Rhinolophus ferrumequinum: one gene and its partners. The protein of the gene in region 1 interacts with the protein of each later gene in a biochemical or structural test. Links are inferred from orthologs where the notes say so. Each region holds a gene or a part of one and is shown on either strand. Other genes may lie near its edges.

The links.
Region 2: the proteins of BCL2L1 (region 1) and BMF interact in a test that uses a peptide from one of them, tested with the Homo sapiens proteins (2 studies listed by BioGRID). The link is inferred for Rhinolophus ferrumequinum from reciprocal best matches to the Homo sapiens genes BCL2L1 and BMF.
Region 3: the proteins of BCL2L1 (region 1) and SIVA1 form a complex in vitro, tested with the Homo sapiens proteins (2 studies listed by BioGRID and IntAct). The link is inferred for Rhinolophus ferrumequinum from reciprocal best matches to the Homo sapiens genes BCL2L1 and SIVA1.

Annotation. Positions count from the first base shown.
Region 1 is NC_046306.1:22,759,585-22,763,327, reverse strand, and holds the start of BCL2L1 (bcl-2-like protein 1), read right to left. Parts: upstream 2,568-3,743; 5' UTR 2,274-2,567; intron 1,467-2,273; exon of another isoform or gene 1,172-1,466; intron 881-1,171; 5' UTR 769-880; coding exon 205-768; intron 1-204. UniProt on the Homo sapiens protein: Potent inhibitor of cell death. Inhibits activation of caspases. Appears to regulate cell death by blocking the voltage-dependent anion channel (VDAC) by binding to it and preventing the release of the caspase activator, CYC1, from the mitochondrial membrane.
Region 2 is NC_046289.1:64,884,232-64,887,974, forward strand, and holds the start of BMF (bcl-2-modifying factor), read left to right. Parts: upstream 1-1,523; 5' UTR 1,524-2,560; coding exon 2,561-2,687; intron 2,688-3,357; exon of another isoform or gene 3,358-3,596; coding exon of another isoform or gene 3,597-3,618; coding exon 3,619-3,743. UniProt on the Homo sapiens protein: May play a role in apoptosis. Isoform 1 seems to be the main initiator.
Region 3 is NC_046289.1:859,988-863,730, forward strand, and holds the start of SIVA1 (apoptosis regulatory protein Siva), read right to left. Parts: upstream 2,614-3,743; 5' UTR 2,530-2,613; coding exon 2,412-2,529; intron 190-2,411; coding exon 1-189. UniProt on the Homo sapiens protein: Induces CD27-mediated apoptosis. Inhibits BCL2L1 isoform Bcl-x(L) anti-apoptotic activity. Inhibits activation of NF-kappa-B and promotes T-cell receptor-mediated apoptosis.

The DNA of each region.
Region 1 (3,743 bases):
TGAAAGATGCCTGGTCCTTCAAGAACGAGATCATCTATTTCAGAACAATCAACCTCTTGTGGTGTAATGAGGCCAATCATGTCTTCTTAAATAACACGTCCAATAATCTCCCAGCACAACAGAAAGAGATAGGAGGAAAGGCTGTTGGGGATCTCTCAGACGAGAGGCCAAGAAAAGGGGACACACAAGGGGCATGGTCCTTACCCAGCCGCCGTTCTCCTGGATCCAAGGCTCTAGGTGGTCGTTCAGGTAAGTGGCCATCCAAGTTGCAATCCGACTCACCAATACCTGCATCTCCTTGTCTACGCTTTCCACGCACAGTGCCCCACCGAAGGAGAAAAAGGCCACAATGCGACCCCAGTTCACCCCATCCCGGAAGAGTTCATTCACTACCTGCTCAAAGCTCTGATATGCTGTCCCTGGGGTGATGTGGAGCTGGGATGTCAGGTCGCTGAATGCCCGTCGGTACCTCAGTTCAAACTCATCACCTGCCTCCCTCAGTGCTTGCTTCACCGCTGCCATGGGGATCACCTCCCGGGCATCCAAGCTGCTGCTGTGGCCAGTGGCTCCATTCACCGCAGGACTGTCCGCCAGGTGCCAGGATGGGTTGCCATTGATGGCACTGGGGGTCTCCATCTCTGATGCAGTCCCTTCTGGGGCCTCAGTTCTGTTCTCTTCCACATCACTAAACTGACTCCAGCTGTATCCTTTCTGGGAAAGCTTGTAGGAGAGAAAGTCAACTACCAGCTCCCGGTTGCTCTGAGACATTTTTATAATAGGGATGGGCTCCACCAGTCCATTGTCCAAAACACCTGCTCACTCACTGAGTCTGGTCTCTGCTTAGTGGTTGTCTTCTGAGATCCAAAACCAAGATAATGTTCTAAAGGAAAAAAAAGAGCTTCAGGGAAAAAGAAAATTAACATGCATACCATTTACCCTACAACATCCCAATGCACCTCCAGGTACCAGAACTGGTTTCTTTGTGGCTCTTAGGAAGGTCTGGGTCTAGCTTCCCGGAGTTCAATGAAGTCGAATTAAAAGCACCAGTGGGCTCTGAATCATTACACCGGCCTTTTTTTACCCCAGCCACCCCCTTTTCTCCGAAATGTCTTCCTCGGAAAGTCACCCTCATGGGCAGTCTGCATCCCATCCCCACCCCCGCACCACCTACTTTCAAATCTGTCTCAGGCGACGGCAGGCAGGTGCAGTCCCCGAATATCTTTTGTATCATATAGGTCGGAAGAGGAGGTGGCAGCCGGGATGCCGGTAAGTCAGCCGGCCTCGCGGCGGCTGGCAAAAAAAACAGCTCCGGCTGGAGGGATCATGCGACCCGGCAGGCTGGGAGCCCAGAAGGCGACACAGGAATTAGGAAGCTCACGAACCCACCGCCTCGCTGGCTTCTTCCTCCATCGCCCAGAACGAGGGCGGCCTCCTGCCACCGGGAGCCCAGCCCCCTCGCTCTAGACGCTCCTTGGCTCTCCCTCCGCCTCCTACTGGGAGCCAGGAGAACTCTCCCAGAGGTGGCTGGTGGAGAGCTTAGGTTTTTTTGGTTTTTTTTTTTTTTTTCTATTTAAGTACCGGCCCAGGCTTCCGAAACCCTGAAGGGACTTCTCAATGGGGCTCAAGGTTTCGATGAGGGACGCAGGGAGGGGAAAACTGCTTCGGATCTGCGGTCTGACTTCGGAAAAGCCATCCCCGGGTCTTTCCGGGAGGCTGAAGGCCGGGGACCCCTCAGAAACGCCGCTGGTATTCTTTGAATTCCCCAAAGGCCCTGGACGCGGCGGTGGCGGTGGGGGATTGCCGGGTCCTCCATTCCCCACACGGACACAATGGCCGCCGGCGCCCTGCACAAAGACGGGGTGAGGGTGAGGCGCCGGGCCTCTCCTCCGGTCAGGAGAAGGGTCGAGGCCTGCTCGAGGGCTCCCACAGCCGAGACCACGTTTTCCTGGGGCCAGGCCCGAGGCAGCTTCCTCGTGCCCCCGGGAGGACTTGGGGGCCGGAGGCTGCCGCTCTCCGGAGCCCGGGGTGGGTGGGCTGCGGCCTCGCGGCTTCTCCCGCGCTCAGGGCCGGGTACCCGCCGGGCCACCGCCCCGTTGCTAGGCAACCGCTCTCCCTCAGGGGCGCCCCCTAGACCTTTCTGGGAGGAGGGGTCTCGCCCCCGGCGGCCCGCCCCAGCATAGCCAATCAGAGAGCCCAGTCGGTAAGTAAACGGGACGGCGAGGGCTCCCATTGGGCGCAGCGCCTGCCACGCACAGAAGAGGCGGCACTCTCACCTGCAAGCCCCGCGAGCCGTGGGGGGCCACATCCCCCCTTGTCGGTCAGGTCGCTTCCAGACGCGAGGGCTCTTCGCGGCCGGGTTCCGCGCCGCGGACCCGGGCCGGCCTACCTGGCGGACTGCTCGCGCTGTCTCTTCCGAACGAGCCGGCCTCAGTTTCCCCTGAAGACACCGGGGGAACTTGCAAGCTCAGTCACTTCCGGTGCCGCGGCAGCGCGCGCGAGCCCGAGACGCAAAAGTGCGCGCCTTGAGGACTGGCGTCAAGACCTGGAAGAGAGCGCCTCCTTGCGGTAGAGCTAGGGAATCCGGAGGCGCAAAAAATATATATGTATATATATTTGTATCAACGTTTACATTTCACATTTCCATTCATTTAGTCAATTTCACCCATCCGTCCGCTTATATATCGAAAAAGCATCGTGTTGTGACTAAGAAGCCAGTTGGTCAAGTTACTCAATTGCTCCGTGCCTCACTTTCTTTAACTGTAAAAATGGGTAAATACCAATCTCCCTCATTGAGTTACTGTAAAGATTAAAAGAGTTATGTGTGAAGTCTGTAGAACAGTGTGTGGTCTGTAGTATATGCTGCATAAATTCATTCATAAAATGCTTATTGTTTGGTTTCTGAAGATAGAGTTGGGAACAAGACAAGACTCGGTCCCTGCTTCCATGGAGACTTAAACCCTTGAGATGGAGAGAGACAGTAAATAACTAAGAAAATATACAAACAAGGTAATTTCAAATAGCGACTAGTGCTATAAAGAAAGTAAATAAGGGTATTATCATAAAGGTGGTGAAGGGAGAGGTGCTACTTTAGACTTGGTGGCCAGGGATGTCCTCTTTGAAGAGATGATATAGAACCCAAGACTTGAAGTATAAGAAAATTCACACCTATCAGAAGAGCCTAGAGAGTATCAACCTAGGCAGAAGGAATAGCTTGTGTAAAATGTCCGGAGGCAGGAAGATCTTGGTATGTTCCAGAAGCTGAAGGAGAAGCAATATGACTGCAAGGTAGTGTGAGGAAGGGCAAGTGTGGTGTGAGAGGAGGTTGGAAAGCTGACCATGGAAGTAAGTTGGACTTGATTCTGAACATTAAAACGTGTTTTATTTTGTGTTAATTTGATGGATTAAAAAAATAGGGATACAGGAACACTGAATGTTAAAAACATATCAAAGAGTGTAGAATTAAAAAGTAAGTCCTATTCCCACCCTGCTTTCCAGTCCCCAGTTGCCCTCACAGAGATCATCACCCTTTCCTCTGTGGTCTTTCAGAGATGGTTGCTATATTCACAAACACGTGTAAATGTTTTACACAAACAGTAGCTTGCTATAAAAGCTTCTACATCTTCCTTTTTTGCTGATTTCTACATTTTGGATCTGCCTCAATTTTTAAAATTAACACACAACTTTATAAAGACATGCCATACTTTACTTGCCCAATCCCCTATTTTGGAACTCTTAGGTAGTTT
Region 2 (3,743 bases), on another chromosome or scaffold:
CCAAGTTTTTGGCACCTGTATCTGGCACAATGTAGGTGCTCAATAAATGTTTGGGCCTAGCGCAGAGATTCCCTTACTGATGGTATATGATTTGCGGGACCCATTGCTCTCCTGGCAGCCCCAGCACTCTCTCTGGAGGCTGCCATAAACAGGATGTGTGTCAACTGCCCAAGCAGCGCCTGCATTCTTGATCTCTTCTCTCCTCAAACAGATGCCTATTTTGTGTTCACGCCCAGTCAAGAAGAGGACATGAGGGTTCCTTTGGATGAGTTTGATCTGAATGTCACTGAGTAACAGCACCGGACATACGTGTTCTCATGCTTCCTACAGATCTGGGGCTGGAGTTTTCTCCAGACCCGCTCCGCAAGCGGGAGGGTGCTTTGCTACCTTGCCGGGATCCGCAGGGACCCGCACTTGCAACCACTGGACATTGCCAGTCGCGTTTAAAAGCTCCCGCTCTCCTCCTCCCCTCCCTTTAGGGACGCGCAGTATTTATTCAGCCTATTCCCGAGAAAGAGAAGACAAGTCACTTTGGCGCCTCCTTGTTCGCTCCTAATGGAGAGGGCTGTGCTTCCCTAGCCTGCATTAGGAACCGAGTCTGCGAGGGCAACGGCGCACCAATTGCGTTTCTGGCGGGGGTCAGAATTTTGCTCGGCCCCTTGCAATGTTTCCAAGGGGAGGTTCGTAGATTCGTGACTGTCCCTGGCAGTCGCCCAGCCCGGGACTTGGGGCTCCACTCATCATTGGCCAGCGGTAGGCGTGACGCGCCGGAGGCGGGGCCTCATCAGCTGTTTGCGGGATGCCCCGAGCGGGCGTATTTTGGAAACAATACCGCGCGGTGCGGAGTGGCCTCCTCCCGGGCGCGCCCGGCCGCTGCCGCTGCGTCCCCTGCTCGCTCCTCCCGCCTCCCACTTCTCGCCGCAGCCGGGTGAGCGCCCGGGCGGCCGGGAGCCGGGCGGAGTTGGATCGCACCTCCTCGGGGAAGTGGGGAGAGGAGTCGCGCTGCGCGTGGGGGCCCGGGAAGGGTTGGGCTGCAGGCGTGTGGGGTGACCATGAAGTACTGGGGCGCTGGGCTGCGGGAACGGGGTGAAGAACCCACATCTAGGTGCGCTGCTCCACCAGGCAACTTAGGGGTAGTAGCATTTGAGAGTCCGAGGAGTTGGGTCCAGGTGGGCAGGGGAACCTGCAGTGCACTGCTGAGCCGACCTAGGCGCCCGAGATCGGCCGGGCCTCTGGATCTTACTTTGGGGTAGGGCAGGGAGTCGTGGGGCATCCTGCCTCCCTGCGGAGTTTGAAGGCTCCTCTCCTTAACAGCTGGGCTTTTTCCCTCCTTCCCAATTGAGTCTGGGCGCCAAGCCCCCGAGTGCTCGTCACGCTGGACCCTGGCGCGGAGCCCTGGCATCACGACTCGGAGGCCGAGACTCTCTCCTGGAGTCACCCAGGTCGGCGGTGTGTTGTGTGAGTGCGTGAGTGTGTGTGTGTGTGTGTGTGTGTGTGTGTGTGTGAGAGAGAGAGAGAGAGAGAGAGAGAGAGAGAGAGAGAGAGAGAGAGAGACCAGATTTTAGCCCTTGTCGAAGTTCAGAGTATCTGGCTACTGCCTTCTCCGAGGAGGAGTCTAAGTTCAGCATCCCTGTTAAGAGTCCTTAGGGGCTGGGATGGCTCCGGCGAGCTTTAGTCCCCCTTGCTAGCAATATAGCCTACCCTGGCCGTGCTCTCAGCAAGTGTTCCCCTCCTACCAGTTTGGACATCACCCCTTTTGCTCAGGTCAGTTTACACTTGACCTTGCCCAGCACCCCACTGGAAGCGCCCACCTGCAGTTCCTGTGGAGAGTGGGACGGGTCCCCGTCCGCCCCCCCCACCCCCTCCCGCCGTGGCAGAGCCACACCCTCTGGCTGCACCTCCCCCACCGTCCAGTCCAGGCTTGGGGTTGAACTTTGGGGCTTTGCTGGGAGGGGGATGGGGAGGTGACGGGCTTCAAAGGAAGAACCAAGACAATGACTCCTGCTTGTGATTGGCTTTGGAGGGTCCCTTCTTACGTTGGGATCGCCAGCTTGCTGAGAGGAGGTTGAAGGGCTGGAGGGGAGCCCCTGCCAGTGACTGGCAGGACAGCCTTTCCTTTAAGCGGGAAACTTTGTTTCCTGGTGCTGATAAGCTGGAGTTCTCCCACCCCACGCCTCCTTTGGGAAACACTATTGAAAGAACACCAGGTGCCTGTTTTGCCATCCAAGTAGGCATCTCCTCACTCTCCAGGGATGAGGGCAGAGATAGGACCATAGATAGTTCCAGGAATAGATGGGATGGAGGGGGTTGAAACAAGCACCTCAGAGACAGCTTGCATTTAGGAAAGCCAGGATTTCTGAATTTAACCGGGATTTCTTTAAGTACTTTACCAACCCACAGACCCTTTGGCTTGCTCTTCAAAGGCAAGAGACTGGGAGACAGAATTCCCAGGGAATCTAATAGAATCTGGCAGTGACAAACATTGTCTCTCTGTATCCTTAACCTATTCAGGTGGTTGTTGCTTCTGGCTGCCCCAGGGGCCTTGAGGGGTTCCTAGTGTATGTGTGTAGGGGTCTGGGTTCGGATCTCAAGATGCTGGATGGCTCCAAGCTCAGACTTCCAAGAGCCAACAAGTGGAGCAAGAACTTCTTTATTACCAAGAAACTCATCAACAACCTGTATAGCCAGTGAGTGAGGTCACGGAGAAAGGGCTGAATTTCACTTCCTTCTGTGAGGCAGGTTGTACCAATCCCAGGTTCAGCACTGGCAGGAATGGTAGGCTGGCTATGGTGAAGGATTTAAAGTCACGGAGACTAGTGAATAGACTGAGCTGGGGGAGGCTGGTCACTTTGCTGAATGCTGGACCTACCCTCTTGGCCAAGCTGTGGTGGGTAGACAGCTCTATCTGAGAGGGCAGCTGCAATGACTAATTTGGGTCTTTCTCCCTTCTCTCTCCCAGGACACCCTTACCACACCAAGGAGTCTGTTTGTTGTGTTGAGCAAGCAGGGGGTGGAGACTAGAGTAGATGGGCAGGTGGGCGGGACTTAGCAGGTTTGGAGGGAACCTGGCTGCCCTATGATTGCTGGCTGGCTTTTGTTTTTACTGCTGAGCCTGGAGCTCAGCTCAGACTTGGTGGTTACTCCCCAGGGCAGTGGTGGGGGGGGGGGGGGAGAGGGAGGGAGAGAAAGGAGAGAGAGAGAGAAAGAGAGAGAGAGAGTTAGTTAGTTGTGAGTATTTTGTGTACAGCCAGTCACAGCACCCTTCTGCCCTCCCACAGCCACTCAGAGAGGCTAGCCTTGTTAACATTTCCCCAGGTACCCTGTATGCATGAAGCAAACTTCATGACTGACCAGCTGGGTCAGAAGAAGAGGCCGAGGGGAGGGTAGCTGTGAGTGGGCCCAGGAAAGTGGTGCTGCAAGTCCCTGACTGAACAGTGAGGCAGTCCAGATTTGGGGATGGATGTCACCCTTGGCTGTGCTTTACCACCAGGGTCATCTGTCACTAGTACCTGCCCCCACTTCCCCAGATAAGAAGGGAGACCAGGGAAGAAGGTGGGGGAGGCCCAGGGTTGGCCTGGGTGGGGACAGCATCCTGGATGCCTTATTATGCCCTAACAGGGGAGATGGAGCCGCCTCAGTGTGTGGAAGAGCTGGAGGATGATGTGTTTCAGCCAGAGGATGGGGATCTGGGGACCCAGCCTGGGAGCTTGCCCTCTGCTGACCTGTTTGCTCAGAGCCAGCTG
Region 3 (3,743 bases), on another chromosome or scaffold:
CGCAGGCCGGGGCTCGCCTCCTGGTCAGCCGGCCGTCCGGTCCGATCAGCATCTGTCCAGATGTGGCCCGTGGGGCCTCTGTGGGGCCGGGCTTCGGGGACTCTGGCAGGTCAACGATGGCGCAGCCTTCCTCCCACATGTGGTCCATGTAGGCCTGGGCCCCGCGAAAAAGCAGCTGCCTGGTCTTCTCTGGGGAGACAGAGCACCCCTCCGGTTAGGCCTTTTGGCACAGAAGCCCTCACACAGCCATCTCATCCTCCACGCCGGGTGTGTGGGGCCCCTCTGTGCTGTCCTCTGGTCACCCCTGCCCACGCCGCTCCCTGGGGAACTGCACCCACACTGCCTCCCACCCATCCTGAACCAGGCTCAGCTGCTACTTCCTACAGGAAGGTCTGGGGCTCTGCAGCCCCACTCGGGCGCCCTCTCCGGTCACTCTGCTCATTTTCCATACAGCGCTCTCAACGCATGGCCTCACCTCATGACTGCTCCCCTCGTCCCGTGCCCCACCAGCCAGCTGTGTCCAGCAGAGGAGCTCTGAGCTATAAAGCACGGGTTCACAGGCAGAGGCTCAGAGCTGGGCCTCCAAACCCAGCCAGTGTGCGCCTCCTTCACCCATTGCACAGCTGCTGGCAAGACACGGCATCAACTGGCTCCTGAACTTTCCAGACCTCTGTAGGCTCTGGACAACCCGCCCACAGAGCTGAACTGGCAGCTCAGCACCCACAGCAGTGGCTTTCCTTCGGGCCACATGTCAGTCACCTGGGGACTTTCACAGGATCAAATGCCCATTGCCAGCCCCAGAAGTGCTTTGTTTGTTGTTTCTGTCTTGTCCCAACAGAGCCAGGGTGGGGATCCTGGAAGCTGGTGGCTCTGTGAAATTGACAGGAACAGTTACTAGGTAATTCAAATGGAGTGGCTAATGACAGCCCAGCCACCAGCTCCTCCTCCTTTGGGCTCTCCTGTGCCCTCCCCAACTCACAATGGGATGGAAATGGGGGGGGAAGGGGTGTCACATGGTGAGGCTAATGTTTATCTTCAAGGTCTTGTGGTCAGTGTCATAGCCTTGAGCTTGGAATTTGCTACACAGCAGTTCCAACTGGGCGTCCTGCCCTTACTATGGAATGCCCAGGGCGCCCAGCCCCTCTCCTTGGAAAACCTGCAAGTCATGGGGCCCTGCAATCGCTCCACGACGGGCGCTCAAGGGAGAGGGTAAAGAGCCAGACTGCCTTGGTCCCCACTTTTAGTCCTTGCTGCTGGTCGTGTTTATGTTTTTGAATGTCCTGACGGAATACATATGCAGTTCAGCCACAGGCCCCATGGCTTCACTCATTTTCATCACCTGCACGGCCTTGGAAAGCATTTGCGTTTGCAACCCGAGTGAGCAAGGAAAGAAAGGCAGAGTGGGTGAGGATGGTGGCAGTTGGGGTGGGGGGAAGACGCAGAAAACTGGGGTCTCCCGAGGCTGGGCTCTTCCCCACGCCCCTAACACACAGCAGCACCACTTAATTACAAACACCCAGGTCACTTTCTAACTGCTCTGCGGGTGCAAACCTTGTGCCTGTGCCCCCGACCTCTCAGCAAGGTAAGCTTTACCTTACAGCTGTCCCAGAGTATCAACCACCCCACATTGGGGATCACTAATATCAGCGCACCTAAAAATCTGTACGAGAGCCAGGTAAGGAGGACTCCAGTGGCTCACTGCCCTCACCTCTCACCGGGAGGTGGATACTCCAGCCACACGAATCCTACTCCACTGTTCTGCTTCCCGGCTTTTGCACATTCTGTTCCACCTGCCTCGAATCCTCCTCTCCCTCTTTGCCGGCCTAACTCCTGGTCACCCTGCAGAATTCCGCTTAGGCGCTGTTCCTCCACCGGACCTCTGACACCCTTGCAGCGGGTCCTGCAGCGACCTGGGCCAGCCGGATCGTCTCTGGACATTCCTTCTCCTGCTGGGCTCCCACTAGACCCGGGAGCTCCCGGAAGGCCGCGTCACACGCGCAGCCGCAGTGCCTGGTAGGGAGGGCGCGCTCCTCAAATACCTCTCGATTAGACCGGGTACTTCTGCGGGCTTACTCCACCCAGGACGTCCCACTCCCTGACCTCTCGCTGCGCCTGAGGCGCCCTAGCGCTAGTCAGACAAGGGCTAGTTATTACAGCTACGACGCGAGTTCGGCATCCCCGCAAATCCAAGCCCGGGAGCGGCCCCACGCAGAGGCCGCTCGTTTGGAGAGGGAGGGGCACTTCTTGCGGGTTGTGGCCAGCGCAGGTGGACACGGACGCGTTCGCCCCTCCCGCACCGCTCCAAACCCCAGCTCCCGGGTGGTCCCAGACCTCCCAGCTCCTGGGGGCGCGGCCTGCGGAGACCTGCCCAGGCCCCGCGTCGCAGAGAGGAAGCCCTACCCCGCACTCACCGAAGATCTCCTGCGAGTAGCGCTCGGCGCACATGCCGCGGCCTAGCTCCCTCCAGCCCACTCGAACCTTGAGTTGTAGCGGGGCCGCGTCCCCGAAGGGGCAGCCCCGCTTGGGCATCGCCGCGGGCCGGGGGAGCTTAGCGTCCGCCCCGCGCCTCGCCGGTGACGTCACAGCCGCGCGCCATCCCCCGCGCAGGGCGGGGACGGGGCTCGTGCGCGGCGCGGAATAGGCCGAGGGCGAGTGTGGGGGCGGGGCTGGCGGGCTGTCCGGCGCGGGATAGGCCAGGGGAGATACCGGGGGCGGAGTTGGCGGCGCGGGAAAGGCCCGGGTCGGAGTAGGCTCACCTGGGCGGGGGAGTGGGAGGGCGGTTTCGTGAGCTAGAGGCGCGGGATAGGCCGGGGTGAGGTTGTGGGCGGGACTCTAGCGCTGGGGGCGGGTCCTGTGTGAGGTGCGCCTCCTCATAGGCAGGAGGCGACATTGGGACGGGATTCGTGGTGCAGGAGGGGCGGAGTGTCTCATTTTTTTTTGTTTTTTTTCCTTGGTCCGTAAACTGGTGAAACTGGTTATAGTTCCTCTTTCAGGTCACCAGAGTTGGAGGATGATTTCCTTCCTCCTAATTTTGACTTTGAAGGAATTCCCATCCTCACGGAAGTGGAGAGTGGCCAGTGCACGACCCGGGTTGTCCTCGGCGCGCGTCCGGCGCTGCCACGTCACATCCGGCCCCGCGACGGCCGCGCGGGAGCCGCGGGGAGAACACGTGCTCATAGGGCTCAGATTCCTCCGTTGCCCGGAGGTGCCTTCCCACAGCCTCTCCGTCTGGCTTCGGCCGGCCCTTCCGTCACTGCATTTCCAGTGACCAGAGCTGCTTCTTCGGTCTGACGTGACACGTCACACGTGACGTCAGTCAGCCGGCAAGCCGCTCCAAGCGGCGCGGAGACGGTGCCCTGGGGGGGTGTCCTCTGCGGTAGGAGTCCGCCCCCATCGGGCGCCCACCAGGTCACCTCACGTCGCTGCTCAGTCGCGGCCTTGCCCTGTGTCCTGGTAAGAAACGTCCAAACCTGTAGAGAAATTTAATGAGTTTGTCTGAGCCAAACTGACTGACACTTGCTGGGAAGCAAAATCTCAACGGGTTAAGAACATGCTTCAGAAAATGGCAGTTTTGCAGCTTATTTTATACCTTACAAAGAAGGAGACCTAAGGAGGGTTCATGGAATCCATGGGTGGTAGGTTAAGGGGGCGGGAGAAAGCAAAGCGGGGCGATCCCGGGGGTTGGATAGAAAGTAAAATGGAGACACACCCTTCTTTACAGTGGTGGGTACAGGGTAGTTAAT